3 linked regions of the Drosophila melanogaster genome follow. Changing the gene in region 2 together with the main gene of any one other region gives a genetic interaction. Each region holds a gene or a part of one and is shown on either strand. Other genes may lie near its edges.

Region 1 (10,408 bases), 8.3 Mb from region 2:
TGCAGAAGTTGTAGTCAGGCGTGTTAACAAGATGCACGAACAACAGCGCTGGGGCAGGCAATAAGTCAAGTTGAACAATAAACATATTCATTTTTCATTGATTTTTATAGCCACAAAGACCACGGTGCCTCTGGTTTGGTCAATGGATATATGTTGGTTAGCGGGGAGGATGGCGATGGCTTTTTGACAATGTTGTGGGAGCAGAGTCTTCTTCACATACAACATCATCTCGAGTTTTCGAGGCTGTTACAAATCCTCAAAAACAAAAACAAAAAATGGGCGGGGGCGTGATGGAAAAAAACACGATTGCAACACGGATATTTCAGCTGCTCGGTGGCGATTTAGCCCCCAAAAATTACATTTTCTTTTGTCTCGATATGTTTGGTTTCGTTTTTTAGTTTTTTTGCCTGCACAGTTTTAGCCAGACCAAAAAACTGACGGCTAGCAATTATTTGGGAGGCCTGGTGGCAAGTGTATAAATGTATCTCGAAATAATCTCGCAGAAATGGCTGCACACGCGTGCAATTAGCGGCGCGTGTTTTGCAGTGGGGAAAGGTGAGCGAAGGAGGCATAAAGTGCCTTTTGTGTGACGGAAACATTTTGCAAATTTTCACTAGCCGCTGCACTGTGCGAATGTATGTACATATATACTCGTTATGTATAAAATATGAACACATGTATTCGCGTTTATTTTGGGAAGCTTTTAGTGGCAGCCAGCACAAAAAAAAGGACTAGAAAAGCGGGGCAAAGGCAAAAAAAAAAAAAAAAAAAAAGGAAAAGAGGAGGAAAACCAAACACGGGTTGGGAAAATGCCTATGATGGCAATGCCGACAGCTGAATAATAAATTTAGCACGGGTCTTCGATTTTTCCGATTTCACATCGCTTGCTCGCTTTCGATTTGGTTCGCTTCGGTTTGGCGTTTTCGTGGCTAACACAACCAACAGCTGACATTGACACTTTTCGCTTTTCGTGTGGCCTGGCGGCGCAGAAAAATCGTTTAAGGTTATTTATAAAAGCAAAAAAAAAAAAATTATCGAACAGTCCCCAAAACACAGAAATACATAAGCCAAACGGGCAGAAATTTGCCCTGTCATAGTTAAAGATTCGTTTGAATGCGAATTTTGCAAACGCACTGCAGCAGCAATTCATCTTAGCCATCTTAGTATTGTCATAATATATCTGAGTAGATACGAAATCATTGAAAATGGTATATTATATAAGCAAAAAGAGGTACCCTGTACATTTCGATCTTTGATTTTCTATTGATATGAAGATCCTCTTTCTTCAATGTAAAACTAATTCGTTCTGTTAGTATTTTTTATATTTTTTGTGCTTTTAAATTTTAACTTTACGAAACTAATATCCCAAATTTCTCATGAAACTCTTTGTGCAGCTTAAAGCAAAAACTTTTAATTGCTTGCAGACAATACTAGGAAGCCAATAAAATGGTCTGAAGTGCGTGCTAAAAAAAAAGTACGAAAAATCGAAAGATGACAGAAAAGGGGTTAATGCCTATTGTTTTGTTTATTCAGCTCGAAACCAGCTACTGATTCCAATATCCAAAATGTTCAATTTCCGCGTCGCTGTCGCACTTAACCTTCAACTCGCATTGAAGCCAATTTGCTGACTCTGTTGTCTTTTCCCCCCAAACGAGTTTTGTCTTTTGTGCGCCCCCCTTCTAGTATCGTTTTCACACCTCCGCACACAGAACAACTGGCGCCCCATCAAAACCGAAATTTATGATGTGATTCTAGCAACGCGACGGCGAGTGTTTTTTTTTTCTTAGATTGCCCATTGCTCGCGTTTTGAATGAGCTTAATTGTTGCCGATTTGAGTGTGCTTTTCATGTATATGCAGCACAACCCGTTAAAGGTCAAATGAGCGATTGGCAAAGTCGAAAGAGAGAAAAAAAAAATAGAAACCGAAACCGAAAATGAACCCCCACCCCCTTTGCTCGCTAGAAAAGCTGGAGAATTATGTCTATGTCTGCTAACGAAAGAAATGAAAACGAGTTCCACAACTGGCAAACGACGAGCAGGAAGACGACAGCAGATATGGAAAGGGAGATAGAAGCTGTGCAGCGGTACGGTGACGTGAGATGTGCGATGCACATGCAATGGATGACATGATATACATAGTAGATAGGTGTATCTCCGTACCCCCACCACCAAACCCCATGCCAAGCCGTACAAAACCCATCCATATATATCTTCGAGCTGGTTTGGGTTGTTCTGTTCTGTTCGCTTCATTTTGGTTTGGTTTGGTCTGGAAGAGCTGACCGGCGGGCAGGCAGAGCATCATACATACATACATATGGCATAACGGTTCGGCGGAAAGGCGCAGAGAAGTTTTCGGGTCGCTAACTAACCCAGTTACCAGAGATTCATCCGACAGCGTTTATAACTGTGACTATCCTTTTCATATGGGTTAAACGATCGATTGAGATACACGTCGAATGAAAACAGTCCCAATAGAACCGAAATGCATATGTATGAATTCGATTAAATGCGATTGCTGAGTTACTAAATTAGTATCTATACGATTTTGCTGGAATTGCTTAATGGGGAAATACCGTGAGAAAAGTGTTTCATAACGGGGGCAAAACGTTCAATCGCAAATAGTACATAGATACTTTTCTATACCATTATATATCGAACTAAAATTGTTAGTTTGGATAAATATCATAGTGCTTCTTCCTAATTAGTTCCTGAGCTTACATAAATCCTTAACATCCGCAACACAGAAGGGCCTACACAGAAAACGAATCGAATTCGGTTAGATAATATCGCACCACAAAGGCTTGAATCAATTTCATTTCCTCTGCCTTCCGCAAATTGTCCATGGCAATTCAACTATGGGAATCCGCAACTAGTTCCAGTTGGCTTTGCAATTTTTAGCATGACCTCAAAAAATCGATGGATGGCCTAGCGCATTTGAGGACCCAAAGGGTTGGCGAGGGGCAGTGGTAGGAAGGCGCGGGGGGTCTGGACGAAAGGTGTGAGAAATAACAAGCTGCTGGTTGAGCCACTCGTAACTGTTGTTTTCTCAGCGTATTGAACACGTAGGCGCGTCAACGGGGTTGACAAAAAGTAGAAACAACGCAACCAGGATGTGCACGGAAAAAAGAGGAAATACTCTAGGCCCAATAAGATATATCATTATTTTAAGATTTTCACTCTTTTTATTTTTAGAAGGTATTTAAAGGCAGTTTGAATAAGGATATATTCCATAAAAACCTATCTTTAAATAATTCTTGTGAAAACTGTCAAATGAACCCTAACAATACCCCCATTTCTTTCTGTGTGGCAGAGAAAACACCTGACAATGCAGTTGAGTGTGAGGGGGCGTTAATAAGGGAGGGTTGAGGGTTGCAGGGCAGACAACCAGACAAGCGGACGAACAGACAGGAAGCTCGTGAGGAAGGAAGTTCCTGCCGCTGCGGCAAAGGAAGTGGTTAAAACAATATGGCAGTGGAGGAACAAGTAGTGGTGGAGTGGCAGTGGCAGTGGCACACCAAGCAACATTGTGAATGCCCAATGTACCGTTGTTGTTGCTGACGCTGGAGTAGCAGCTTTGCTGCAGCGTTGCAGTTGTTGCTGGTGTGCCAATTCTAAGCGCTGCATTGGCAACAGTCGCGCTTCGCCGGTTTCGCAACTGAACTCTCAGCTGCTATTGCTCCTCTGCAGTTAGTTGCTGTTGCTTCTGCTGCTGCTGCTGTTGCTGCATTGCGCGTAATCAGTGAAGCAACAAACCGTGGCAGCTAGCTGCAACAGCAACAATAACACGCCAGCAGTCGCGGCTCTGAGGAAAAACTTGAATGCAGTTTTTCGCAGCGAATGACACAGTTTCACACCAGCACGGGAAAACACTAGCACACACACAGAGAAGAACTTCTTTTCTTTCTTTCTTTTTTTTTTTGTTGGAGAACAGACTCCTTTTCGGCTTACATTTGTTCCCCTTTTCGGGATATTAGTTTGTATTGGTAGGCGATTTTATTTCACAATCTAGCATAGCATTTCACGGTGGCAATTGATGTTGCAAATGTTGCGCTGCTTGCTGCTGGAGTTGCTGTTTTGCTTTTAACTGCGACGCGATGATGTGTGGTTGCAACCGACGGCGGCGCCTCGAAAAACAATGTCAAATAATGACGCGGCGACATCAACAGTCCACTATTGACGACGACCTGCAACCGCTCGAGCGACCAAGCGTGCCAAAGGAAATTTCTACACTGAGCCAAGCCGTCCGTCTTTGACTGACTGCTGCTCGTTCGGCTGGCAACAGCAACACATACACATACACAGCGGCAACAACAGCAACACACAGCGGCAACATCAACACTCACGCAAGTAAGGAGAGAAAAAAGGCAGCAAAAGCAAAAACACAAAACTGGCAACGAAAGCAGAGCACACAGTAAAGATGAAGTGGTTGCTGTTGTTGTTATTGTTGCTGCTGATGTTGCTGCTGTCTCGCACACCAGCAACATTTGCTCTCCGCTCGAGCGCGAGGAAGAGAGCTAGAGGTATCAAATACCAGCTGAGCGGGAGAGAGCTGCCCGTGTACGTGTTTTGCATACAAATGCGCCACTCAAGCGAGACACGCACATCTATACGGTTTTCGACCACTTGTTTGACTGCTTTGGCTTTAGCCCTCTCTCTTCTACGCTCTCTCGCATCAGCTGAGCGCTCATGTTTTGATGCTCAGCAGCTGACTGCGCTGGCGTTGCCACACAGCTCGGTAACAAGAGAACACGGCAAAGTGGCAGTAGAATAGTAGCAGAATCTACTACTTTTTTAACGCATTGAACAAACCTAGGATAAACTCTATAAATAACAATTAGAAATTAATTTTCCACGAAAAGGGATAATTGTACCGTTCGTATGAAACATTTAAATGGATTTCTCATAAATATATTGCCATTGTTGATTCATTAACACATGGTTTTAATGATCACAGGTAAACGAAATAAATTCGGCAAATTTAATGGCTAACACAATTTCGTACAATTGACGCAAACATCACATCACTTATGTACTTTTACCAAGAACACTAATTGGCTTGATAACAATCTGTTCAACTAAAACATCATAGAGTTTTGTTAAAGCGCTAAACATTTATTTAATACGTTTAATACTCTAAGCATGTTATAATTTTTTTCTCAGTTAAAATGACTGCTCTAATTGACTTAAACAAATTACCTGGGATTTGGGTAAGCTCATGCTCAAGATATTTCACTCACCTGAAAGGAAAACAGAAAATAAAGAATTAAAGATATATTCCAATTTGTTATTCTCGATGGTAAGGACCTCCAGCTACGTGGTTCTTATCAATGAAGTGACCCCAAGCCCGCATGAAATAGCTACTCCTCTGACCATCAAATCTCTCCACAGGGAGTAATTATCACGCTCTTTTTCGGCCAGGAAGAAATAAAATCAGTAATCAAATAGAATGGAGCGGTAGACGAAAACCGAAGAACACAGGAACTGCATTTGCTGCCTAACTTACACAGAATCTAGACCCGAATAAGAAAACATAATATAAACGCATCGTCATTCTGCGTAAATAAAGTTGAAAACAGGAACACGCAATGCACTTAGATAAATTTGGACCGACATGTGTGGTATTCATTAAGCGAATAACTAAAAAGAATGATTAACAAAAACACAACAGTACCAACCCACATAAACTTATTTTATATTTTTAAATTTACTAGACAATTGCATTAATACACTTTTTTTCGAGTGTATCTCAAAACAGCTGTCCATTGACGAGCTGAAGAAAAACAAGAACAAATACGACTGGGGCGAAAAGGTGAGAAGCGGATAGAGGAAAAGGAATCTTGGCAGCAGAGAACGCGCACCTGTGACCGCCCGCAATGCAACCGAAACGGCGGCAAGTTCATTTGCACCACATCAAAATTTCATCCACACTATGCTGCGCACACACACACACGAAGCGTGTAATGGAACATCTGATCCGTACCGCCAACTCTATGGCCCTCTCTTTCCACCCACACAGCACAGCAACCATCTCACTTGCTCCAAAAGGTGGTAACGCTCGGCTGCTTTCTAGCGGTTCAACTGCTGCCATTTGCCATTACTCGAATTGCTTTGTGCCCATTACTTATGGCAGCGACTGTTGCCGTCGGACAGCAAAAACGGCACACGATCGCGATCTGCGGATATTGCGGATGTTGCGGCAAGAAGGTAGGAAAATGCAAAATGGTAGTAAACAGAGTTTACAGAGACCACCAGGATTCGGTACAATTAAATACAATATTTTATAGGACATTTTAAGGCATTACATGTTGACTTCTTTCAGAAGTCAGATGACAGTTTCGATCAGTTTGATAACATGTTTAAGTGCCTTAAAATACAATTTGTATATAAATGCCATGTTGCATTTATACCTTCAGTTATATACTTTTGCTCCCAATAAAAAGCAAAAAAAAAAAACATAAAGAGTTGCTCCATTGGCTTATAAAAGTTCAAACAATGTGCCGCAAAAGTTCATATGCACTAAGGGTAAACTTTTCTTATTTGTACTAGGTACATTGAACAATGAACATATTCTTTTAAAGCAAAAATTGTATTTATATTTACGCTGGAAGTAGATAATTTAATGTTGGTTATGATTATTGTTAGCATAGTATGGCAAATATATACTTTCTTTACACTGATTTCCATAATTGCTGGATGCTTTTATCGTAGCCATGCTAATGATTTCTTTATTGATCAGAAAGAATATTTTATATCAAAGTTTTACCGAGACACTAGTCTTCCATACGTTCAATTTTCCATATAAATATTAACTTGGCAAACAACTTGGTTGTTGCTGCTTATCAAACTTAATATTTGATTTATGATTACTTGCTGTTACTCCACCCCTCCCCAACCAACTTCCCTACTTAATTGCAAAGTGAAAGAGTTAAGGAGATTGTTTCCTGGTGCTCGAGAAAAATAACAAACAAACAACACAGCTGCATATGTATGCAAAGAAAATACAATTGTTCAAACTACACTTTACACTGAAAACAAATGTATCAAACGTTTTCAAGAATAAAACCCAATTAATGTTGAGTTCTACATTTTTGGCAAATATAAGTTTTTAAAGAAGTTCCTTTATAATAAAAAAGGTTAAGAAAGTAATTTTTTCTATTGATTATGTTTGATACAAGCAATTCAATAAATAGTTTACGAATATTTCTCTAAATTGTAAATTGTTATTCATCATATTATTTTTATCTGTGTACTTAGTTTAGTGTGATTTGTTTTTATTGCTGCCGTGCCTGCGATGTTGTTGTTGTTGTTTTTACAGCTCGCTTATACGTTTCTAGTTTCGCTTGGGGCTGCGATTCGAGGGGGTTGGTGCGGGGGAGTGGCCCCACGAAGGGGGTCTCGATCTGGGCGGTGGGGCAGGGGGGCGGGAGTTCCGTTTAGTCGGTCACGCCACCACATAAATAAGACGGAACAACAAAGCGTATCAAGATGTTGTTGCCAGCGTTACTGTAGTTACTGCGCTGTTGTTGTATCTGATGTTGCTGCCGTTATTATTGTTGTTGTTGTTGTTGTTGTTAGTGCTGCTTCTGCGGGTCATGCGCAATGCCAATGACGTCAGATGTTGCCATCAAATTAGGAAATGCGCAAAAACAAAAAACAGCCACAAAAAATGGCAAAACAATGAATTTGAATGAGCGCCACATAAACGAAAACACATACGCATAAACACACAGCGGTAGTTAAATTAATAGCAATGAAACAATTGGCGCTCGTTTTGTACACTATGCTTGAACTTAAATGGTAGTAAGAACCATAAAAAATCTTTCCTCTTAAAAAAAAATAAGTGCTTGGTCAGCGGAAGTACAAGATAAATGGATCAGCTTGATAAAAATGATAAAGTGATTAAAAAATTTTTAAGTAAATTAAACTTTTCTTTTCCTTATTAATTAATCATTTTAAGTAAAATATGTACATACATGTTTTCTTATTTTTTTTTAGATAATTAAATAGTTTGGGTTGGCTTCTATATCCTGCGTGTCCTTCATTTTAGAAAAGTGTCCTTCATTTGTGCCCCCCACTGTAGACTTAATATGCGTCTCGGACGTGGCGCTGTGAGATTTATGTGTCGCCGTTAAACGAAAGGGGGGGCGTGTGTAAATCGCGTCGGCGGAGGTTAATACCGAAATGCTAACAGTAATGTATATGTGCAGCAAACGTCGTCTGGAGGTGTGAATCACCAGAGACCCAGCAGAGGAAACCTGCCTCCTGGTCGCGCCACTAAAGTTCGCGGGGGTTTCTCCGCAACATGGAAACCCTACAAGAACCGAAAAGCAGACCAAGGAAAAATGCGCCGCAAATTTAATAATTTATAAAACGGATGGCGTTGAAGTCGAGCCGGGAAATCCAATAACAAAAAGAAAAGCGCAAACACCGATAGGCAGACGCAGAAATCAGCTGTTTGGCGAACTTTGCCCGCTGTCAGCACATGTGATGCGGCGAGGGAAACTGGAGGAAAATGAGCGAACTTCGAGTCGCAGAGAGTTTCCAACAAACGGAAAGAAAGAAAGAGAGAGGTAGAGAGCGAGAGCGAGAGTGAGAGAGAGGTAAAGAGGGTGAAAGTGTAATCATCACCCAACTCTCACACACACACACACACACACACCATTGCCTTGGAAAATTGCCTTGTCCCTAAACTAAACGAAGGCAAAAGAAACGACGCAGTTTTCGCGATTTTTCCAAGGCAATTAAGGTGCTGTCCAACATGAAAGAAAAACTATAAAGCCCGTCAAACATTTTGGCAGTTTCCATCAACCCATTAAGCTGAATAAACAATTCGCCATACTTTTTAAATAGACTGCAAATCGAATGCAACAAAGAGATTTTCACATTTGGCGGAATCATGCTATAAATATTTTCATTTCATCAAACTTATTTCTAACAATTTTCCCGGAAAAGATCAATAAAAAAAAGTATGGAGATAAAGAAGTTTTGCATTGAATATTTACAAACGGCAAATAGAATGACCAATAAATAATTCAAGCTGTGAACTTTCGATTAACGAAAATTCAAAGATAAAAGGGTCTGCTTCTTAATGGAATATTTAATTTGAAAGTGTTTGCACATTTTCTATTGACTAGAAAACGTTAGCTGTGTGGCAAAACGTTTATATAAAAAATAAATAATAATTTCTTTTCTATGTTTATAAGTCAGAGAAGTAAATATTTGATATTGTAGAATTTATTAGTAAGTCTATTCAACTTCTGTAAATGCAAGGGAAATTATTATGATATTTTATGTCCTAGAATGCACTTGCTGATTTGATTTCAGGATATACATATATTTGATTTCATAAATATATAAATCTATTAAATTCCATAGTTTGCCACTCCTTACCGACAGAAGCACGTGACGGTCTCCTCAACGTCCAGCGGGAGTGACAGTTGTCCTGCAGCCTGAGCACCCGTGCCACCTGTTCCCCCACTAGCGCCACCCGCTCCGCCGCCACCCGCGCCACCACCTGCTCCAGAGGCATTACCCTTCCCGCCATTCTGGCCATTGGCATTTTGGCGCGGCACAGCGCGTCCGGGAATGTGACGCGAAGAGGCATGAAGGAAGGTGGCGGCGAAGGTCGACGACAGTGAGGAGTGCGAGCTCGAGGGGCGTGGCGTGGAGGCGGTGGGCGTTTGGGGTGCCGTCGAGGATCCATCGTTGGTGGCGTCTGCCAAAGGAACCGAGGAGTAGCGAACGAGGATCGCACGGCTAACGCGATTGCCGCCCGTTAAATTCGAAATGGCCCAGTTCATGGCCAGCGGAGAGTTTGGCTAATGGAGGAGAACTAACTGGGGGAACTAAACGCTTCCGCCGCTCGACTGCAACTGAGCTGTTGTTGGCCGGGCCAAAAGGCAAAAGGGCCAGTAGAATGGTGGCCCCTTCTCGCACATACTAAACATACACAATCTTCGTTTGCAGAAAATTGGTTTTGCCTAGTGATTTCAAGCCACGCCCCAGAACTTGGCCAACTGTCCGTCAATCAATGGATTCCCCTTTTCTAAGGCTGCAAAAAATTGGCCAAGTGTCGCTTTTCTCTCTCGCTATTTATGCCTTTCCACACAGCATTTGTTTCACACATTTTTGCTGCAGTTTATTTGTAATTTTCCTTTTTTTTTCCCCTGCACTTGCACCCGTTGCCGGCTAATTCAATTAGAGTTGTACTAAGTGCGCTTCAAGGCTGGCGGAATGCACACGCCGTCGTCGAAACAGCGAGGGTTGCTAATGAGGTATGCTGCAAATTTATGACTACTTGCTCGCAATTACCCTATGCACATACATATACCATTTCATATTTTCGCTTGTGCAAAATTCAATTTCCCGAAAGAAAGGCTTTAATTGCCAAAGGTAAGTGGGCACAAAA
Region 2 (10,408 bases):
ATTAAGAGCCAGCTCCATCAGATCAAAGAGGAACGCCACGTGCTCCTGTACCGGCAGGTAGTTGTTGTTCCCTAACGCGAATCCGTTCAGCTGCTCCAGGACATTGGCCGCACATTGGGCTGTGACCACATGCTGGTCGAAATAAGCCATCTGCTGGCACTTGGACGTGGTAGCTTCGAAGTTAAACTCGTTGCGCGAGTGCTTCTTCACATGACCGGCCGCCGCCACATCTATGCTAAACTTTTTTGTGAAAAGCTTTCCAATTTCCTTAGACATCTTCTTGACAGCATGCTTCTTCTCGTCCCTCTCTTTGCCGACTCCGAAGAGCAGGATGTATCGCTGGTTGCTTTCACTGCTGTAGCTGCTCATGCTGGGATCATCCTGGGGGATGGGGAAGTGCTTGGTGTACACGTAATGCCGCGATATGCTACCGCCAGGATTGGTTTCTCCATCGCCTGGAGGACCAATCTTGGGACTGTCTGGAGCTTCGTGCTGTTGTCCTTTCTCCTTAATATTTTGCACCAGTTTGTCCAAATCGTCGTCCACATTGGAATCATCAAATTCGTTGTGTTTGAAGTCCAGGCCCCCGCCGAATCCGTCATCATCGAAACCGTGCGTCGTCGTTGGTGGTGGAGCTGGAGGTGGCGGCGATGTTTTCGTGGCCGTTGTTCCTGATTTGATCACCAGCACCGACTCCAGGAGCAGATCTCCTCGTGAAATTAGAGTGTGCATGTACGCGTTGTGCGAAAAGACATCGTGGCGAATCAATGCACTGAACAGCTGAACAAGGTTGGTAAATTCCGTGCGCTGCTGTGGACTGCTCACGTGCTCATCGAGGACGGGAGCATCGTGGTCAAGGAAGTGCATTAACACGTGCTGAAACACAGGCAGGCCATCAATTAAGCCGGCGCCCGAAGCTAGCGAGTCCTTGTCATCCTTATCACTGGATTGTTGATCCGCCGGCGTGCTTGTCACGTCGATCTGGCGCTTGTCAAGTAGAATGGCCACCACCATGGCTCTGTGTTCTCCCCAACGCTGCCCCGACACAGCCCACTCGCACAGAATGCGTACCGTGTCCTTGTCTTGTTTGGGTTCATAAGGCGGACGAGGTTCCACCTGATCCTCCTCCCGCCTGCGACTGACAGTTGGGCTGGGAAATATTTGTGCGTATAGGGTATCGATACTATTATTGTGTTCCATGCGATCGAAGCAGTGCGTGTCCAAGTGGTCCAGTGTAGCCAGCACACTGGTGTATTGATTCTTGCCGGCACTCAGCCACTTGGCTGCAAACCAGCGCTGCTCTGCATGCTGAGTGCGCAATACGATGTCCGACTCGGCGGCCCGCAATTGACGTCGAATCTCGTGATTGGTTCGCGGACAGCGTGTGGGCATCGGCAAGACTGAGGGCGCCAAAGGCAAATGGTCCAGCGGACTACCCAACAACGAGGAGGGTGCTCGGTGAGCTGCTATCCCACTCCAGACCAGAGCTGTGGGGCACTCGATTGTGATGATCTGTAGGATCGTGCTTAAATACAGCACTATATCCCGATGATGGGGACAACTCATTTGTTCCTGAAGCGCCAGCTCATAGGGATCTTGTTGCAACTTCGGCTCGTCCAACTCTTTGATGGTCTGCTGTTCTACGACAGTGTTCAGCAACTGGGCCAGTTTTTTGGACACTATGTAGGCCATCTTTCTGCAAAGACGCTCCGACTGGACGAAGTCGTGCATGTACTGAAGGGCAAAGCTGAGCACCAATTTCTTCAACGGTTCGTCGAAGCTTGCCTGCGTACGCATCTTGTCCAAAAGGTCGAGGATCCAGTTTAGAAATTCCTGTCGGTCCAAAAGTGATTCCTCGTACATGTACTTGCTCAATTGGTGGCAGTATTTCCAATACTTAAGCGCATTGCGACTATCTTCGAACTGGCTTCCAATTCCAGAAATTGTAGAGCCTGGTGGAACTGCAGCTCCTGCACCCGCTGCGCCTCCTACCACAGAAGACCCCGGCCCACCGACTACTCCGCCAAGGCTTCCCGTCGTCGGCATGACACTGCCGGCATTCACTCCTCCGCCAGGAGCTGCCTGTTGGCCATTAGCTGGGCTATGAATCGGTGGCAGTGGACTGGCCATGCTGGGTACCGGGATTACGTTCGTGGAAGCACTGCTACCGGTGACGGAGTTAATAGAGCTGGTGCCAGTGGAGCCATTGCTGGCAGGACCATTACCGGCGGCGGTCAGGCTTCCGGAAGTGGTGCCATTCGAAGAGGACTTGTCGTGGTCTAAAATCAAGAAGTTGAATAAGGGAGTTGATAGATTATAGAACTTAAGGACTGTACTCACTCTGCTGATAATACTCTTGGAGCTTGGGAAGCAGCTCTTTCATGAACTTGATCATGTTGCCGGTCCACTCGGCAGCCGGGTCGTAAATGGATCGCTTTTTGTTCTTAGACTCGGTGAAGCTAAGCGTATAGGCGGCGCTCAGCTTGATGAACCAGGTGGCGCGTTGCATGTTCACCTGGTTCTCGCACAGAGTAATGAAGATCTCCTCCTTCTTGTTGAACGATGGAGCCCGTTTGGCTAGGCTAAGTAGGGGTTTGTTACCGGCGAGGTCCTTAAACCAGGCGTCCACCGTACACTTGCGACGCGGCGAAACGGGCCAGAAGTTGTCCTTGCAGTTGATCTGCTGCTTCTTGCGCCCCGTGTCCGGCAGGGTCATCAGCTCCTCCTTCTTGGCCAGGACGCCGCTAAAGAATGCGCTCACTTTGCTGGCGTTCACATTCGAGTTGTGGGCCGTACCGAATTCATCGGACAGCGGTGGCGTCGTCGTGAATCCGTGCTTCACATTCGTGGGCGTCAGCTCGTCCTCTCGCTGCTTCGCGTCCTGCGGATAGATGTCCGGCGGACCCAGACGGGTGCGCTTCAGCGGACGCTTCTCCTGCAGCATGGACAGCATCTTCGCGGCCCTCTAGTTGCGTTTTATAAACAGATTTTCTTAGCGAATTCCCGATTTCCTCTGTTCGCCAACCCAACAACAAATCAAAATATCAGTGGTGGGGCGAAAAAATGCGATGAGCCATCGATAGTTCGATAACATCCCGCGAACAATCTAGCGGATGCAATCGAATTTAAGCTAAGTGTTAAATGGTTGTAAATATTACAAATGTAATCTTATCATGTTCAGCCACACATCCCCAATCAACCTGATACAGTACTTTAAATATGACGTAATTTTTTAATTATGCAGTGAAAAAGTTACATCGTTGTGCACTAACAAAAGAAATACCACTCAAAGTGGTAAGATCACGAATAAAGCTGCGTATAAATATTAAATAATTTACGTTGTATTTTTGGTAATGATTGAAGAAACATTCGTTGTTAAACGAATAAGGCCTCACAAGGCTTGGCGATCGAATTCCGGCTCATCGGCATAAAAGTGTCCGCCGCTTGTCATTCCATCGCTGCACTCGAAGTTCAAACAGAGCATTTTCAGGGGAAATTCGTGCGGTAGCTGCAAACGAAGCACAAAGTGTCACATTAACATAAGGACTTTCGAATATATGTATGTGCTTTAAATATTACTCACCCGTTCCATGATGTCATGCCTAATGTCAGTGGCCGCGGCAAATAGCTCTAGGGTTTGATGAGCTGAGCGTTTCGATAAGCTGGCCAGCGTGTCCAAGACGAAGGCGTCTGTGATGCCCAGGCAATAGCAAATGTTCAGATACCGAAGGCGCTCATTGTTGGCCACCAAAAGGGAGAGCTGCGTTTCTCCAATCTCACGAGCGGACTGTATGGAAAGGCACTCTAATCGACTCAACTTCGCCAAGTGGTGAACACACAGATCGTCACGAGGCTTGCAGACCAGCCACCGGAGACACTTCAAAGCACTGATGTACTGCGCCTGCTCCTCGTCAATCCAGCGTTTGCGGTGCAGGATGAGGTATTCCAACTGAATGGAGCACTGGCTTTTGGCCAGTGCCTTGAACAGGCGCGTTTTCATATCCTCCGAGCAGTATAATTGCAGGTACTTGAGGTTTACAAACTGCGGCAGGACCAACAGATCGGCGTCGCAGTCATTGAACGTCAGCTTCTCCAGGTGGCGGCAGTTGGTGGCCAGCATCCTGAGATTGCTGGTAGTCAGAAAGCGTTTGGCGTTGCGCAGCTGAAGGCATCGCAGCTTCCTCATGGGTTTCACAATTGTTGCGAATTCCGAGGCGGTCACGTCGTCGTACAAGCCAAGTTCCAGCATCTCGCTAAACTGACGTACTTCTTGTACTGTGAAGGGAGAAGCAATTAAATAATATTGTTGTGATAAGGTGAACATTAAATAGTTCTTACACTCCTTGCGTTCAAAGCTCTCCAGGCTCAGACTGTTGACCCGCGGAAGGTGTATCCCAATGGCTTTTATTAGATCCTTGCTGGTGCTCTTGTAGTTACGCACGTGCACCTTTTCCAGGGAGCTCATCCTCAATAAATACGGTTGCGCCCGTGCCACTGTTGCATTGTATATAGAGATGGACTTCAGTCGGTAGCAGTGTCTGCTGATCATCGGGAGCAGCTGCAGCGGGTGATCATCGTCAAAGTGGGATTCCAGTGTACCGATGCGACTGCCACAGAGCCACAGAAAGGTGCGCCAATCCTCCAGAGTCCTTATACTCATATCCTTGTCAACAACATCCTGGAAATCATGGCGATGCAGGCGAAGAAAGGCATCCCTAAAAATGCGACAGCATCGCGCCAAGTGCAACTGGTCCTCCAAGCTTAGAAGCTTGAAGATGAACAACAGAGAACTGGGGTCCAAGTCCAGAATACTGGTGATGCGGGCCATTATTAGCTGACTATGCTCATTGCGCGGGACCGTCACAGGCGCCAAATGGCCAGATTAGCAAAGGCAACTGGTTTATGTACGCCTGACATGGAAAAATTTATCCCAAGTCGGTAAGTTCTATTTATTTACTAATTGGACTGGTGGCAGTGATGACAATTTTCGAAGTAAGAGTCTTTTGGCAAGATTCAAGCTAAAAGGTTAAAGCTAAGATATTTTAACTATTGTTTAAGCTTTGTTTCTTAATAGAATTACAGTAAATAATAACATGACCTTAAAGTAAATTTAAATAAATTTAAATTTAATCAATTTTAATTAAAAAAATCAATGTAAGTAATAAGTAACGTAATTTCAGTACATAAATTTTATACAATTGTCGGTGAAAGCTTAATTGTCATGACTATCTGCGAGCCAAAAGCACTAAAGTTCTAAAATCAATCGATTAGCTATCGATAGCCCCACTGGATCGCAGCCAACTTTGCTTTGTTGGGGATGCAAAATGCGAATGGCTCTTGAAGAAGAAGCAGCAGAGGGAGGAATTTCAACAAATTACCGAGGAAAAAGGCAAGAAACGGGCGAAGAAAGCAGTGTGTGTGCATTGGCAAGTGCATAACTCCTCACCACACACACGCACACGCACCGACATCGCAGGGAGCACACACACAAGCCCCAAATAGGACCGAGGTGACCAGGACAAAAACCCCAGCTTAGATGATGAGCAGCAGAACGCAGGACGCGGACGGTGCCTCGATCAGATTCAGCGACCACACACTGGACAAGGCCACCAAGGCCAAGGTGACGTTGGAGAACTACTACAGCAACCTGGTGACGCAGTATGGCGAGCGAAAGCAGCGCCTCGCAAAGCTGGAGGCTCAGCTGAAGGACGAGAGCTTGTCGGAGGCGCAGCGCCAGGAGAAGCGTCTGCAGCATGCCCAGAAGGAGACGGAGTATCTCCGGCTGAAGCGATTGCGCCTCGGTGTGGAGGACTTTGAGGCCCTCAAAGTCATCGGACGCGGCGCGTTCGGTGAAGTGCGTTTGGTGCAGAAAAAGGACACGGGACATGTGTACGCCATGAAGGTGCTGCGCAAAGCGGACATGCTGGAAAAGGAGCAGGTGGCACACGTACGAGCCGAGCGCGATGTCCTGGTCGAGGCCGATCATCAGTGGGTGGTGAAGATGTACTACAGTTTCCAGGTGAGTGACGAGCGCCAGCTACAACAAAAACAATGATATAGGGTGGGTGGGAGAAAGGGTGATGGGGTGAAGGAGCGGGCGGCAGCGCACATAACAAAAGAATTGTGTTAAAACACGGACAAAAAAATCAATAAACCAATACAACGGCAAATGCCAAAAGCGCCTTTGCCAATCATATGGTCACGTCTCTCTTGCTCTCTCGCTTCCTCTCTCATTCTCTGCGTGGGCCGCCTTTGTTGTTTTTTTCTCGATTCTCTTTTGTCAACTTCTTCTCGGTGAAAGTTCTTGACACAGGCGAACCAGCCTACACTGAATCGCCATTTCTCTGACGTTAAATATTTGTTTAATAAGATATTTTTGCATATTACAATTATTGTACAATGAATGTAAATACAATTGCATTCATATATAAGTATTTTCTTACTCAGTAATAATGTGAGAATGTTTTTGAAATATCTTTCCACAGGATCCCGTCAATTTATATTTGATAATGGAGTTCTTGCCTGGTGGTGATATGATGACGCTTTTGATGAAGAAGGACACGCTATCCGAGGAGGGCACACAGTTCTATATCAGTGAGACGGCATTGGCGATCGATTCTATTCACAAACTCGGTTTCATACACAGGGATATCAAGCCCGATAACTTGCTGCTGGACGCGCGAGGGCATCTGAAGGTAAGTGGAATCCAGATAATTGAGATGAGCCCACTAAAAACTCTATTATTATTTTAGCTCTCCGACTTCGGACTGTGCACTGGCTTAAAGAAGTCGCATCGAACAGACTTTTATCGGGACTTGTCGCAGGCGAAACCATCCGATTTTATAGGCACGTGCGCCAGGTAAGATGTGAAAGAATCTAAGCTTGTATTTATTAAATAAACTAGCTTGTCCTGCAGTCCGATGGACTCCAAGCGACGTGCCGAGTCGTGGAAGCGAAATCGACGCGCCCTCGCCTACAGCACCGTGGGAACGCCGGACTATATTGCACCCGAAGTATTTCTGCAGACTGGCTACGGACCCGCCTGCGACTGGTGGTCCCTGGGAGTCATCATGTACGAAATGCTGATGGGCTATCCTCCATTCTGCTCGGACAATCCCCAGGACACCTACCGCAAGGTGATGAACTGGCGCGAGACGCTGATATTTCCCCCAGAGATCCCCATATCGGAGGAGGCCAAGGAGACGATCATCAACTTCTGCTGCGAGGCCGATCGCCGGCTGGGTTCCCAGCGCGGTCTGGAGGATCTGAAGTCCGTGCCGTTCTTCCGGGGAGTTGACTGGGAGCACATACGTGAGCGTCCCGCGGCCATACCCGTTGAGGTGCGCTCAATCGACGATACGTCCAACTTCGACGAGTTTCCCGATGTGTCGCTGGAGATACGTAAGTATATTTTTAAGCAAAGGGACGAGCACACAGACTAACGTGCATCCATTGCAGCATCGGCGCCCATACCGCAGGGCGGTGAGATTGCGAAGGACTGGGTCTTTATCAACTACACGTACAAACGATTCGAGGTGCGAAATTTGGAGTGAATCCAGCAGAGCAGGAACTGGAGCAGGAGCAGTAGCAGTAGCAGCTTGAAGGTTGCCGCACTTTGCCACCCATTTTATCACCACCACAGCCGTCGTCTCTCTAACACCATCACCACCAAGAGCATTCTCCACGCTAAACGAAATCCCCGATTTTCCTTTTTGAATGTCTTACCTACATGTGTATTTAAATACTAGCTAACATTTGTGATTCCAAACAAGAGAAGAATATGATAACGCGAACAAACGATGTATTGTATGTAAAAAAGTCTTAGAGCGTCGCCCGCGCCTCGGGCTAGGTTAAACGCTATACTAATCCTCAAATGTCCTTCCATTGGCTTTGTTCAATCCCTAATCCCGATCTTAATCGTTTAAACGTTGTGTTTGTAAACCAGTTCCCCATATTAGGGACCCATTCGGCAATTCTTTATATATATATATATTGTTTACTTATTGGGCAGCAGCGAAATACCCATAAATTTATTATTTAGCAAATTAAAAATGTTATAACTTTTAGGCACGTTAATTGTACGTATATGTTTTGTATCAACTTGTAATGAAACAAAGTCTTAATACATAGTGAACCCCACACACAAAACCGAATCCGAAAATCTATCACACAAATTAGTTACTAATGCCAATAGCAACAAAAGCTAATCTAGACAGCAGAATAAATAAAAGTATGTTTAAATATCGGTTTCGTTCTATGTACACCTGCCCCATCCCACCCCACCACAACCCGCGCCCACGGACACGAATATAGATTTAAAAACATTCTACTTCCCGCTGGAGTTTTTAGTTCCAAGTAATTGTAGTTTGAGCAAAAGTGAATTATTGAAAAAGTTACCGAGTTACCGCTGGCAAGTATAAATCCAATTACATAGCAAACACTCAACGCCGAGCAGTTGCAGAATGCAAACTTAAAATAATTGATAATATACCTATAAATAAATTAAACGAGTAAACAAGTTTTAAGAAATTATTTTTGGTAATAGAATACAATAATAGTAAGCATACTGATAATTCGATAATAATGCTACACACACAGCAACATGAAATGCAATAATAAATGAAACATGTGCATAATAACTAACAAATACATGCTTTTTACTTGAATTCGACTCGATCTGGGCAATCAGTGCATTACTTACAGGAGTGCTAGCATCCTTGAAGCATTCTATGAGGTGGATGTGGTTCATGAAATCATACACCGTGGACATCAACCTTGGAATCATCTCCCTATTTCCACTTGAATCATGAAACCTATCTCAAAGAAACCTTAAGCTTTTGAGTTTCCCGTAGTGTAACAACATGTGAATGGGTATGGATACGACGAACCTTCATCTTTAACCTAAATGGTATTGTATTGTATTTTCGAAATAAGTAAGCATGAGGAAACCAAAAAGTAACACGACACAAATGCTAGGCTTTGTACATTTAAATGTATGTATATATTTTGTCGATCTTTTCATCTGCACTTCTCTCGATATTTCCCTATCTGCACTCGCGTTCGATTTTTGATTTGTGTTTTGTGTGTTGATGAGAGGGCGTTGATTTCATTTTCTGCAGTTCTGCAGTTTCTGTATCTGTATCAGAACAATGTGGCTTGGCTTTAATTGAGTGCAACATCCGAAACCATTACAGACATGAAAATAAAGATTTCAAATTGAATTGGTCAGGCGGTTAGGCTCGAAAATCGAAAGTAACTTGTTTTCCATCTGCGATTTAATGTGTGTATGTGTGTCGATCGTGGTTTCTCGCTGTGTACGTGGCGCGTGTGTGCGTGAATCGGAATATATAGCTAGTCGTTTATTATATATACTACATATATAAATGTATTAGCATATGGAGACTACAGACTATAAGAATTGTTACATCAGCTGAGGGGGGCGTAGGCAAAACTTTACAAACGGGAGAACGGGGAAAACCCTACGAGACACATTTACACACAGCTAACAAACAAACTGTAAGTTGTCCATTTTCAATTTTCCATTTTCAGCTATATGTTTGTTTACATTACGGTTCGATTACTGTGCGGGCATATATGCATATGTATGTATGTTTGTAATTGAAATTTGAATTGAAATTGGAATTCGGATTGCGTTTACTTCGTACTGTGGATTTATTTAGCTTGTTTGTTTGAAATCTTTATTGGATGCTTGTAACGGGCAGTAGTATCCATAAAATTATAATGGTATAATGTTAAAAGTTTAACTATGCGCTTACAGTCTAATGAAAAGTGTATACATCGACGAATATGTATGGTAATTTCAGAAATTTTTTATAATCGCTTAGGTTTTATCTAGTTGTTTTTCACTGTCGATTGTGTGTTTTTGAATGGGGTAGGGTGCGGGGAGCGGGGTGGCTGGATGCTTGGGGTCTCTCGTTAGTTATGCTATGCGCTTGCAACTATTATTAATTAATTTAATTTAATTTAAATTGAATTACAAGTAATCGGTTTAGTTTTTCTTCACTTTTTACTTTCATATCGTAGCTTAATTCTCTACGCCTTTGCACTTGCTTTGATTTTCGCTTGCTACATTTTCTCTTTTTTTAATTAATTTTACTTTCGTTTCGCTTGTTTTTTGTTATTTTTTTTTTCTTTGCTGGCTTGCCCTACGTTCAATAGTAAAATGTATATATATTTATATAGTTATATGTACGTTAAGAATTACATTAATGTAGGACATACGTCTAAGAGGATGCAGGCCTTCTAATGGGAACTTTGGGGGAAGAGAGGGGTCGAGGGGGAAGGGAGTGGGAGTGGACTACAGGTGTTTGACCTGAACCGAACTGCAAGGACTTTAGCGACTTGGGGGAGGGGGGGTCGACTTCCTATAATCGTATTAATTAGTAGT
Region 3 (10,408 bases), on a different chromosome or scaffold from region 2:
ATTTTCTATATATACAGCTGTGTTCATAAAAATAGCAGTGCTTTGGACCTGAGAGTTTAAGATCAAAAATTCCTAGGATTTACAGTTTTAATGGGATTTTTTTTTTTTATAATATCATTAGGTATTTAATTTTAAACAATTTAACAAATGTTTCACTTTTATTTCTTCAATAGTTTCGAAAATATAGATTAAAACAACAAAATAGGTAGAAACTCTGGTTTTCAATGTAAATATTGAAAAAAACAGTAACAAAATTCAACTTGACCTAGAACTAACTTAGTTTTTCTTTTTAATACGTTAATTCGGGCCTAATACTTGGCTGGATAGCCTTTGTTAGCCAGCACAGCCTTACACCCACGCAGCATGGAGTCCACCAGGTCCTGGCATCATTTGGGGGAATTTTTGCCCATACATCCTGCACAACTTTCCAAATCTAAGCCTTAGACGTCGGGGAGTTCTTCGACACATTTTGTTTAATTTCCCCCCACAGGTTTTCAATCGGGTTTAAATCGTAAGGTGGTGCTGGCCACGGCATTGCATCTATTCCATTTTTGGGTGAACCTATTCTTTGCCGATTTGCTTCTGCATTTCGGATCATTATCCTGGTGGAATGTCCATTTTAAGGGCATATTATATTCAGAATATTACAGTAAGACATCAATGAGTATATTTACATATGCTATTTGGTCTATAATACCATAAATCATATGTTATGGACTCATACCATTGTAAAAAAAAAAACAAGCATATACCACAATTTTAGGTTCACCGTGGTTGAAAGTCTTCAGTGGGTGTTTTGGGTGGTATTCCGTGTTTGGAGGTCGTCAGATATACTGTAGTGAACCCGTTCCACCAAATTGCACGATTTTTGACCCATCAGTCCAAAGGATATTACGCCATTTGAAGACTGGCCAGTTTAGGTAGGTTTTAGCGAAGCTTAACCTTGCCTAAATATGCCTTGGGCTAAGTAGGGGAACCTTTCGTGAACTCCTCGCACTGAAATTTTGATTTAGTAGTCGTCTTCGAATAGTATCGTCCCTGATTCCCAAGTTGAGCTCAGACTTTATGTCCCTAAAGGATGCAAAAGGATAGACTTTGCTGTAAGAAACAATGCGTCGATGCTATATATCTGTGGTTATATCTATGGAACCACGGTTTTCGGGCTTCCATTCATATTTAATGACATTGGATACCATTTTGGCAGAACATTCAAGGGTTTTTTGAATGTTCATATATGTTTTTACTTCCTTTCTAAGCTTAATAATTAACATTCTTTTCTCCTGGGAGCAGTGCTGTCCTTTACCCACTAATATATAATTTTTTTCATTTACTCCCCTTTTAAATGTACGAATTAATCAAACTCACTTTTTAAAAATATTGATCATTTCCTGACTTTACGTTGGTCAAAACCAGACACTGCTATTCTTATGAACAGCCTAAAAGTTGTGATTTCGCTTAAGAAAGTAAATAAAAAAAGGATAACATGAAAAACTAACCGGATTTTCTTTTTTTCCCTATATACACATTCCATTTAACAAAAATAAGTGGAATAAAAAGTCAATTCCGAAAAGGGACATGGAAAAATACCTTTGTATTAATTAGTATTCCTCGCACTGCTATTTTTCTGAACACAGCTGTACATACCATTTTATATAATAGTCATTTTTTATATGTATACATGATCCAATTTCTATTGCCCAGAATTTCAAAAACTCTTTCGAGTTAGATCAATTTGCCTGTTGGTGATTAGAACTACGATACCTCAAAGTTATTATGGTATAACCACAGAACCACAGAAGCCCATTGATACCAAATATCAAATCAATATCAAATATCAGTATGGTATTGTCGATTGGAAAATAGGGACGCCATAGTTGTGTGCTTTATTTCGTTTATCCGACTTCACGTGGGAAGCGTAGTCAGTGTTGTAATGTCTATTTAAAATCGTAAGTATATCAGTTAGCGAGTTCCGTAGCGACAAAAGGGGTTAGGGGTTAGAGGCTAGTACAATCGCCGCGTGTAATGCATCTGCTGACCAGGAGGCGGCTGGGCGGAGCCGGATCCGGACGGTGCTCCCGGCTGGCCAGGCAGCATCGCCAGCTGTTGCCGAGCCAACTGCTGCTCGTGGGCGGATCCACCTCGTCCAGGGGCATAGCCCTGTGTGATGCTTCCCGCTGTTTTCGGATTCTGTGGAGGAAACTGGCCAGGCGTTAGTCAAGTGAATATTTAGTTCTTCCTTGTAAATGATATCAAACATGTTAATCAGTAGTTGGGAAGTTGGTTCTAATGCGTTTTCCTATGAAAACATGAAAACCTGCAACAATGAATTTGTTTTATAGAAAACAGCTCTTATTCAAGATGCTCAGGCTTTAAAAACCATTTTCGCAGAGCCTAATCGTTGAACTTCGATTTCGAAGATGTAAATCTAACTTGTTTGTTCTAAGTTGTAAATTCTAAGACACTGCCACGGCTAATTAACCACAAATGTTGAGAATGAGACCCACCTGGCTGCTGCTTATCTGCAGCACGTTGCTGTGCAATGAGAGTTCGTTGAGCAGCGGCTTGAAGATGACGCCCTCCGGCAGCAGGTGTGGCGGAGGCGGGACGTGGCTCGGCGGCTGGCCGTCGTGCTTCACCTCGATGTGGTAGCGGTCCGGTAGCTTCTCCATAGTCACGTGTGGCTGGGAGGCCTTTACCGAGAGGCTGCCGCCGGCTTGAGCCACCAGGTCTGCCTGCGAAATGGTCGGCTGGTCGAGGTTGATGTGAAGCACTTGCATGGGCTGCGACTGCGACGGTGCCTTGGGCGACTGCGAGTCGGGCGGCTTGCTGACCGTGGCGCTGGGCAGGTCCACGTGGTAGGCCTGGCGCAACGGAAGGTTGTAGTTGTAGATGGACTGCAAGCGGGCGTCCGCCTGGTGCTGTGTCGTCGGCGGAGGAGCGACCGTCTGGTAGAAGACCGTTCCCGTGCCCGGATACTGTGCCGCTGTTTCTGGAAGAGAGGAAAAGTGAGGTTTAATTGACGAATCTGGCGATCGTTCCGACGGAGGATCTCGGGCTTGGTATTGCAAGTGAGGTGCTTACTGTTCCATGATAATCTAGCATAGTCAGCGGCACGACGGTAGTCATCGTGTTCTGCGAATCGATCGTAAACAAATAACGAAATGAACATAAGTTGTGTGCCTGTGTTGTTAGAGGTTAGTGTGCGCAGTGAAATGGATTTCTCATGAACGGGACGGAGTGTTAGCGAGCAGTTAATCAAGAAGAACAGCGAAAGCTCCGCAGAACAGATCAATCGGTGATTGTATCGCACCTTTAGCCAATGCCAATTTGCAGTTGAATTTTAAAACTCGAGCTATCTGCTAGAAACCCTATATATATCGTTTCTACACTATATATCCTTCAAAATAATAGGGTAATTTTTGTGCACATTAAAACACATTAAACTAAACCATCCAATACAAAGCCTAAACAGCACGAAACTTTCTTTATATCGAATTGATTATTTACTTAACACTTAACCATGTTTTTGCAATCATTCCTAATTAGAAGTTCAATTGATATTAGTGCTAATATTTCATAGAGCTTAAAAAAGGGCTTGGCAATCAGAATGTAGAGATGATGACATCACAAAAATCACGTATATCTCTCGTCCAAATCAAGAACCATACATATGTGCTAACCAATTCAATGACTAATCAAATTATGAGCAGATCCCGCATTCGAGTTAACAAAATCCAACCGAAATTGCGTGCATGAGACTTTGGACTGCCTGCCTGAGGCAGCGTTCACTGTATCGGAGGCCCAGGGACCACATTGTCGACCTCTTCCTGGCTTACTCTGCTGGGCGTAGCTGGCGGCGCTCTTGTAGTAAGCCTGCTGCTGACTCGGCGGCGATGGACTCCTGCCACGTTTTCCTGGCTGTCCGCCGGACGGGAGCTGCGAGGAAAAAAGAGGACCATTAGAACCTGAATCCCACAATTGCGCAGTCGAGACCTTCTGCATCAGCGTATGGTGCTGGTGTTGGAGGCGCAGGGGCGGCAGGAAGACCGGGCTACTGGCCGCCGCCTGCTGGATGGCGAACAGTTCGTTCTCCTTGGCCAGCTTCTTGCGCGTTTCGTCCTCGTTGAGCACCTTCTTGAGTTGGACGGTCAGCTGATGCTTCTGGCTGTGCAGATCGGCCAGCTGCTCGTCCAGTCGGGTTATCTGGCCGCGTGTGTCATCCAGGGCCACCTGGTTCTGGCGCTCCACCTCCTCGCGCTCCCGTCGCAGCCGCTGCTCCTCGCACTGAGCCTCGAACTCCTCCTGGCGCCGCTGGCGGTCCGCCACGATGAAGCCCTTCAGTGCCCCGCGCAGCTTCTCCGCCCGCTCGGCCTTCGCCGCCTGGGCGGCCGCGTTGCTGTTGTTTACCGCTGATGCTGGCGGCATCTTTGTGCTCTGCTTAGTTATCTTGCCAATTTTATAAGCGTTCGTGGACGACCGGGCAATCGCGACTGTTTGACCGAACCGACCGAGAGGCTCCCCAAATGGAATGGCGTGCTGGTGGCGGTGGGCTGGAATCCGGGTGGACACCGCTACGGGAATCAATGGTTGGGCGTCTTGGGATCACTGCAAATGCTCGACGCCGGGCTGCACTTTATTTTCGTTCACTTTCAGCACGGTTTTTTGTGGTAAACAATTTGTTGAGTGAGTGGGATGTGCCGACCAGTGTTGCCACCAATCGATTAATGGGCAAAGCTAGCTAGAAAATAGCTACTTTCCGATTGTGGTGGCAAATCTTAAGTTAACGTTCGAACTAAATCACTTATAAAGAATTCGATTTTTTCTTTAAAGCTTATATTCCTAATATTACTAGTCACACCCCAGAATTTAATATAAAATACAAATAGTTTCAACACTGATCGATACTTATCGATAACTTTTTGGAAACAGATTATAGTTTTTGGAAAATCCAAGCATTAAAGTCTAGACATTCTAGAAATGTCTATCGATGTTAATAAAATGCGTAAGCATCGATATGGCATCTCTCATTGGAGGTATCGTGCAGCTCGAGCTCTGCGGTCACACTAGAATTGCAGTTGTTGGTGTGAACGTCTGAACGCGATTCGGAAAATACGGATTACACGGATAATACGAATTATACGGATATTGCGGAAGTTGAACGGAGACGCGACTGAAAGAAAGCCGTGAAATGTGTTCAGTTGCGCGCAGCAGTCATTAGCCTATCAGCAGTGTTTGTTACAAGCTAACAGTGATACAACGTGCCTGGAATCGCAACCAACGCAGAGCAAGAAAAGCAGAAAAGCATAAAAACGGAAGAAGCAGCAGCGGAATAATCAACAAAGGCGGCAAACATGGCGAGTGAGTAACATCGAGCATTTCTCTGCCTATGGAGCATCCCAAACGACATACAGCAGACCCCGGATTCCTTTTCCATAGCATAAACAAACGCAATTCATGCGAGTCATTGCAGCGGCCGTTTTATGGCTGCAGTGCAGCATTTACGAGCTGCGAAAACTTCCAAATCGCTGCCAGGTGTCGGAGGAAGTTGCTCCGAGCAGGGGCAGTGGGGTGGGGGCGGGCGATGCGGCTCCCTAGACAAGATGTGTGTGTTTGCCGGGGACATGTGAGAAAAATCAATACTTATGCTCCCCACTCCCCATCCCACTGCACAGTGGGCCGGTCGGATTAGGCAGATGCCGTGCTCCTGCTGCTGTGCGCACCCACTTATCGCGGCCAACAGGGTCAGCGCTTCCCAATCAGAAATCCCGCTCTTTTATCCTTTAATGGCCCCGGCAGTTCTGGCGGGAATTAAGTGCGGCTGAGACAGCGGCCACCACCGTTTTGCACGAACCCGCCACCCGAGCCGCCCACTCCACCGCAGCACAGGAGGAATAGGAATGGGAACTGGGAACAGCAGTGACGACGCATTAATAAATGAGAATATGCCTCCTGCGAGGTGCCAGGTTTACCGGCGTGTCGCAACACTCCCCGCAGTCCTCACAATTCGTTTTATCCCCACGGGGGGTGATATAGCAAACAAAACGATGAAGTCATGCACAGTGAGAAATCTATGGCAACTTTGTTGAATTGTTGATAAACATTACAATTAGGACAATCTTCACAGATTAAGCTTAAAAGGGCTTAAAATTCGATACTACTTTGCAGTCAAAGCGCAGTCATTGTCAAGATAAAGCTGTGACTAACTAAAAGAAACCCCTTTTTTTCTTGTGTTTCTCAGTGTAGTTGGATGTGTAACGTACGCACTGGATGTGTTATATTTGGGTCAGTCACCGATGAGAATTGTTAAACGTAAACAAGTCTCTAAACTTCTTAGTTTTCAAACGTGACTGCACCGAATCAACACATACATAAACACTGGCCACAGACTGTACTGTTTGTATACCCTTTCCCGAGGGGAACCTGTGCAGAACGACAACAAACAGCACTTGAACGCGCCGGCAATCCCGGCCTCGAAACTTCCCCTTTTTCAGGAGGGGTGCTGCATCCCAATCCCCACACCACTGTACACCTCACTTGTCTACAGAACCCACCAGCTGCGCCCAGCGTAGCGAGACCCATTTCCACACTGAAAACAATTCGTGGTTCTTGTTCATTTTAATTCATATGCAAGCACTGGGAAACTTGCGCTGAATATATGATTTTCAAGACCTGTCATTCGGAGCATTCATTAAGTGTTACATAAGTTTTATACCTGAAGTATAGTACATTGAAATACTATTCGACATTACTATAGATTGTTTTGAAATCTAATGAAAGGACATCTATAAAATTCAAGGATGCAGGCCATTGGACCGTTGCGGCATGATTTACTCGCTGTGCAGATCCCAGCTGCGAGATGCTTGCCACGTCCTCCCTGCGGCTCAGTCACTTTGGACTTTAATTGGTCCTTTGTGACTGCATTTGTCGACGCTTTCGCTCGGCGTCTTCGACGCAATTTGACTGCTGTCCTTGAGGCTGTGGCTACCATCAACCCCGAGGCTGGGAGTCTGATAAGGAAGAGGATATCAGCTGCCAAAGCAGGCCGCTCCCCTCGCCAGATTCCAGATTCTAGATTCCGGAGCTGCTGCCTCTTTATTGTTATTGTTATTATTTTGGGCTTTTCCATTCGTTCCACGCAGCTTACCCAGATTAGCTGGCTGTTATTGTAGTTTGCCCGGCTTCGAATTTATTGTCCTTTTCCACCTCCTTCTTGCGTATTCCGGCGTCGTTGCTTCATTTGCTTCAAATCTAGCTGGGTGACTTGTGATTTCCCCGTGCCTAGCGCCTTCCACTCGCTTTATTCTTTTAACTGCTAATAAGATTTTGGCCCTTCTAATGGCCTTGAGAATGAATGGGGCGAGCAGGCCGCCTTGAAAAGATGAAATTGTGGGGTGGTTGGTGGCTAGCTCTGTTTTAATTGAGTTCGTGCCCTATTCAAATTGGCATAGAAATTAATTTCAATTAACTTTCGAGTCTTTTCGAGGAGGCTATGTGTGTCCCCTTGACAAGTTGTGGAGCATACTTTACGGGGCCAAAAGAGGGTTGGCATTTTGGGGAATCCCCCATCGACAGAACGTTCTAACTTGTGTGCTTCAAGTGTGCAACTTGTGTGCAAACTTTTAGTTTTTTCCGCTCTAAACTAAGCAACTTGTACAACTTGTGTCAACTTTTAAGTTGGTAAATTCGTTGGTATTTACACGAGTACTGCATGATTTAAATGTTCAATAAGCTGGCTGGTATGTAAAAAACGGATTCAAGTTGTCTTTTCTCAAGTGTTCATTGTGTTGACATACAAAATGTTGACTGGCGAAAGTCAATTTGTATTTAAGTTTGCAGCTACATATACATATACAGTCAACTTAGTTCGAAACTATTTCGGCTACCTCTAATATACATACAAAAGCACTTTGTTAAATTCACCAACTCGGTGGATTGTCCCAGAACAACAAACCAAAATTTAAAATTTGCAAACGAACAGAGAAAAACGAATCCTTTTTTGTCTTCTCACGCTGCTGGGAAGGAGAAGAAAGTAACCAAGAACTGGAGGACGACGACTTCACAATGGGAATCCTGCAGGCGAGGAGGCATCACTGCGTCGACAAGGTGGTGAGTGACCTGTGCCTGGGACACTACGAGCACGCTCTGAGGCAGATCAACGAGGATCTGGAAGGCTTACAGAACCACGATGAGATCATGGCGCTGCTGGAGCTAAAGAATATCATTTTGAGACTGAGGCTGAAGGGCGAGGCCCAGCGGACCATAGGCCCAACTCGCAAATCTGACGCCCTGCCCCACAAGTTCACACTCGAGATGCTGGACGTGGTGCAGAAGGTCCTGCGGTGCCGCAATCACTACGAGGTGCTGCGCATCTCTCATCATGCCACCTACTCCGAGGTGAAGCGGGCCTACCACAAGCTGGCCCTGCGCCTCCATCCGGACAAGAACAAATCTCCTGGGGCTGAGCAGGCCTTCCGGCGGATCAGCGAGGCGGCTGACTGCCTCACGGACTGCCAGAAAAGGATTGAGTACAACATAGCAACGGCAGTGGGCGACTGCCACGACCAGGATCCCTCGCAGTACAAGGATTATCGCGGGGAAAGTGAATTCAATGAGGCAAATGGGAACGATCTGGGAGCCGCTTTCAGAAGGCCTTATCGGGGGGCCAATCAGCGGATGCCCCAGAGGCAGTCACTCTACCAAACACAGCAACTCGTCATCGGAGTGGTGGCTGCTCTGGTTTTTCTCTTCGTCACCATGCACTTCATCGCAGGCGCTCCTGCTTACAGTTTTACGCTAACCAGGTGAGTTCTAGACTCACTCGGATGCTGAGACTGGCGTATACAGGCCCAATCTTCTCCAGAACCCACAGCGCTCGACGGCTCAGTCGGACGAACCACATTGCCTACTACATGAATCCGACGACTCTGTCCAAGTACACAGAACAGCAGTTGGCCGAACTGGAAGTAGAAATCGAGGAGGTTTACATCTCGGACCTCAAACATAAGTGCAGGCAAGAGCGGAGTTGGAGTGAGAACTATTAAACTTTGTCCAGTACCAGGCACTTCAAATTACTTCTGATTCCAGGGGATAATCTGTTTCTCAGGGCGAGGCAGGGAAACAACGACCAGAAGTTGCTCCAGCATGTCAGCCAGATGTCCACTCCCGCTTGCCAGGCGTTGCTCCAGCTGGGAAAGTCTGGTCACAGTCGACTGTTGCTCGAGAACGAGTCTTTGAATCAGGACGTGCCAGTCTGATACTCTGTACTTTTCTATTGATAGATGTAGGGATTAGTGCACGGTGTAAATAAAGAGTAGTTTTAAAAATACGCAATCCTTATATTATATGGTTTATTGTATTGTACATTGTGGTTTGGTATATTTAAGAGCCCCGCAAAAGTGGGCTCACTTTTACTTTGCAAGCTTCCATTTTTTTCAATTTATCATAACTCGAGTGGATCATGAATTATACCTTTTCACTTACATCACCTAGTTATCCATGCAAAAGGAATCATTTCGTTTGAATTATAAGGTTCGTTCCCATGGCTGCCATTTTCTGTGCCATGCCTCTGCCTCCAACTTAACCCACTTTTCCCGAATTTTTCACTTGGCAACAGGGCCCAAAAAGCTAAAATACAACTAAAACCGACATTAGCGTCGCCAGTTGCACATGAATTAAGCATGCAACAACAATAAGTTTGCACTAGTTTTTTTGTGATTTCTGTGCCGTTTGCTATTTGCTATTTTTGTACGTGGCCAAAGTTGGTGAATCGCGTAATGGAGAAAATAAAATACCACAACGGAGTGGAAATAAAACGCAGGCCATAGGCCCCAATCATGCCCAGAAAAAAGGAAACACGAAAATAAAATGAAGCCATTGCCCCAGAAATTCAGGCGAATAAATGCCTCGAACGAATCCCGCTTCCGCAACGAAGAGCTAACGAACTTGCCACGGAACTCGAACGGAATGTATGGATGGATGGATTGATGGCTGGATGGATGGGTTGATGGCTGGATGGACGAGTGGCATACTCTGAATACCAACGAGTACCAGTTACCAAAGCAAACATTCGGAGGCACGCAAAAGGCGGCGAAGCAGCAACCGAGACGCATTACGGAGCTGGTCTGGGCCACCTTCTGTCAGACGGAAGTGACGCTACTATTGCCACTGCCACTGCCACAGCACCTGTCGTCCTCCTGCATTCCTCATCCCTGTCAACCTGCCACTCCGCCGGGCGGGCGATGCGACGCGTCTCTGCCACCTGTCCAATTGCATTCAGTCAGCTGCGTCGGACAAACAAATACAACAATTCCCCTTTTTACCTGAATATGCAGATGCATCCCGCAATACATATGCACATTTCCACTGGCTGCGTTTCGATTTAAAGGGTATATTGGACTCCTAATTGTAT

The links.
Region 1: of trc (region 2) and Mob2, changing one enhances a phenotype caused by changing the other (phenotypic enhancement), as found in Drosophila melanogaster (one study listed by BioGRID).
Region 3: of trc (region 2) and vimar, changing one suppresses a phenotype caused by changing the other (phenotypic suppression), as found in Drosophila melanogaster (one study listed by BioGRID).

What each region holds. Positions count from the first base shown.
Region 1 is NT_037436.4:11,548,882-11,559,289, forward strand, and holds the start of Mob2 (Mob2), read right to left. Parts: upstream 4,232-10,408; 5' UTR 3,949-4,231; intron 3,813-3,948; exon of another isoform or gene 3,658-3,812; intron 1-3,657. UniProt on the Drosophila melanogaster protein: Required for the normal morphogenesis of a variety of polarized outgrowths including epidermal hairs, bristles, arista laterals, and dendrites.
Region 2 is NT_037436.4:19,829,221-19,839,628, reverse strand, and holds trc (tricornered), read left to right. Parts: upstream 1-5,324; 5' UTR 5,325-5,536; coding exon 5,537-6,019; intron 6,020-6,485; coding exon 6,486-6,695; intron 6,696-6,752; coding exon 6,753-6,859; intron 6,860-6,904; coding exon 6,905-7,401; intron 7,402-7,458; coding exon 7,459-7,553; 3' UTR 7,554-8,765; downstream 8,766-10,408. Other genes in the region: kto (kohtalo), read right to left, coding at 1-2,279, 2,341-2,953; CG32221 (uncharacterized protein), read right to left, coding at 3,392-3,508, 3,584-4,275, 4,339-4,828. UniProt on the Drosophila melanogaster protein: Serine/threonine-protein kinase involved in controlling cell structure and proliferation of a variety of polarized outgrowths including epidermal hairs, bristles, arista laterals, and dendrites.
Region 3 is NT_033778.4:6,980,362-6,990,769, reverse strand, and holds the start of vimar (visceral mesodermal armadillo-repeats), read left to right. Parts: upstream 1-5,057; 5' UTR 5,058-5,351; coding exon 5,352-5,358; intron 5,359-7,783; exon of another isoform or gene 7,784-8,061; coding exon of another isoform or gene 8,062-8,801; intron 8,802-8,860; coding exon of another isoform or gene 8,861-9,027; intron 9,028-9,084; coding exon of another isoform or gene 9,085-9,254; exon of another isoform or gene 9,255-9,324; intron 9,325-9,574; exon of another isoform or gene 9,575-10,375; intron 10,376-10,408. Other genes in the region: CG17002 (uncharacterized protein), read right to left, coding at 2,002-2,199, 2,505-2,989, 3,082-3,132, 3,837-3,936, 3,994-4,425; CG30156 (uncharacterized protein), read left to right, coding at 8,062-8,801, 8,861-9,027, 9,085-9,254. UniProt on the Drosophila melanogaster protein: Probably acts as a GEF (guanine nucleotide exchange factor) for the Rho family of small GTP-binding proteins (G proteins) that stimulates the dissociation of GDP to enable subsequent binding of GTP.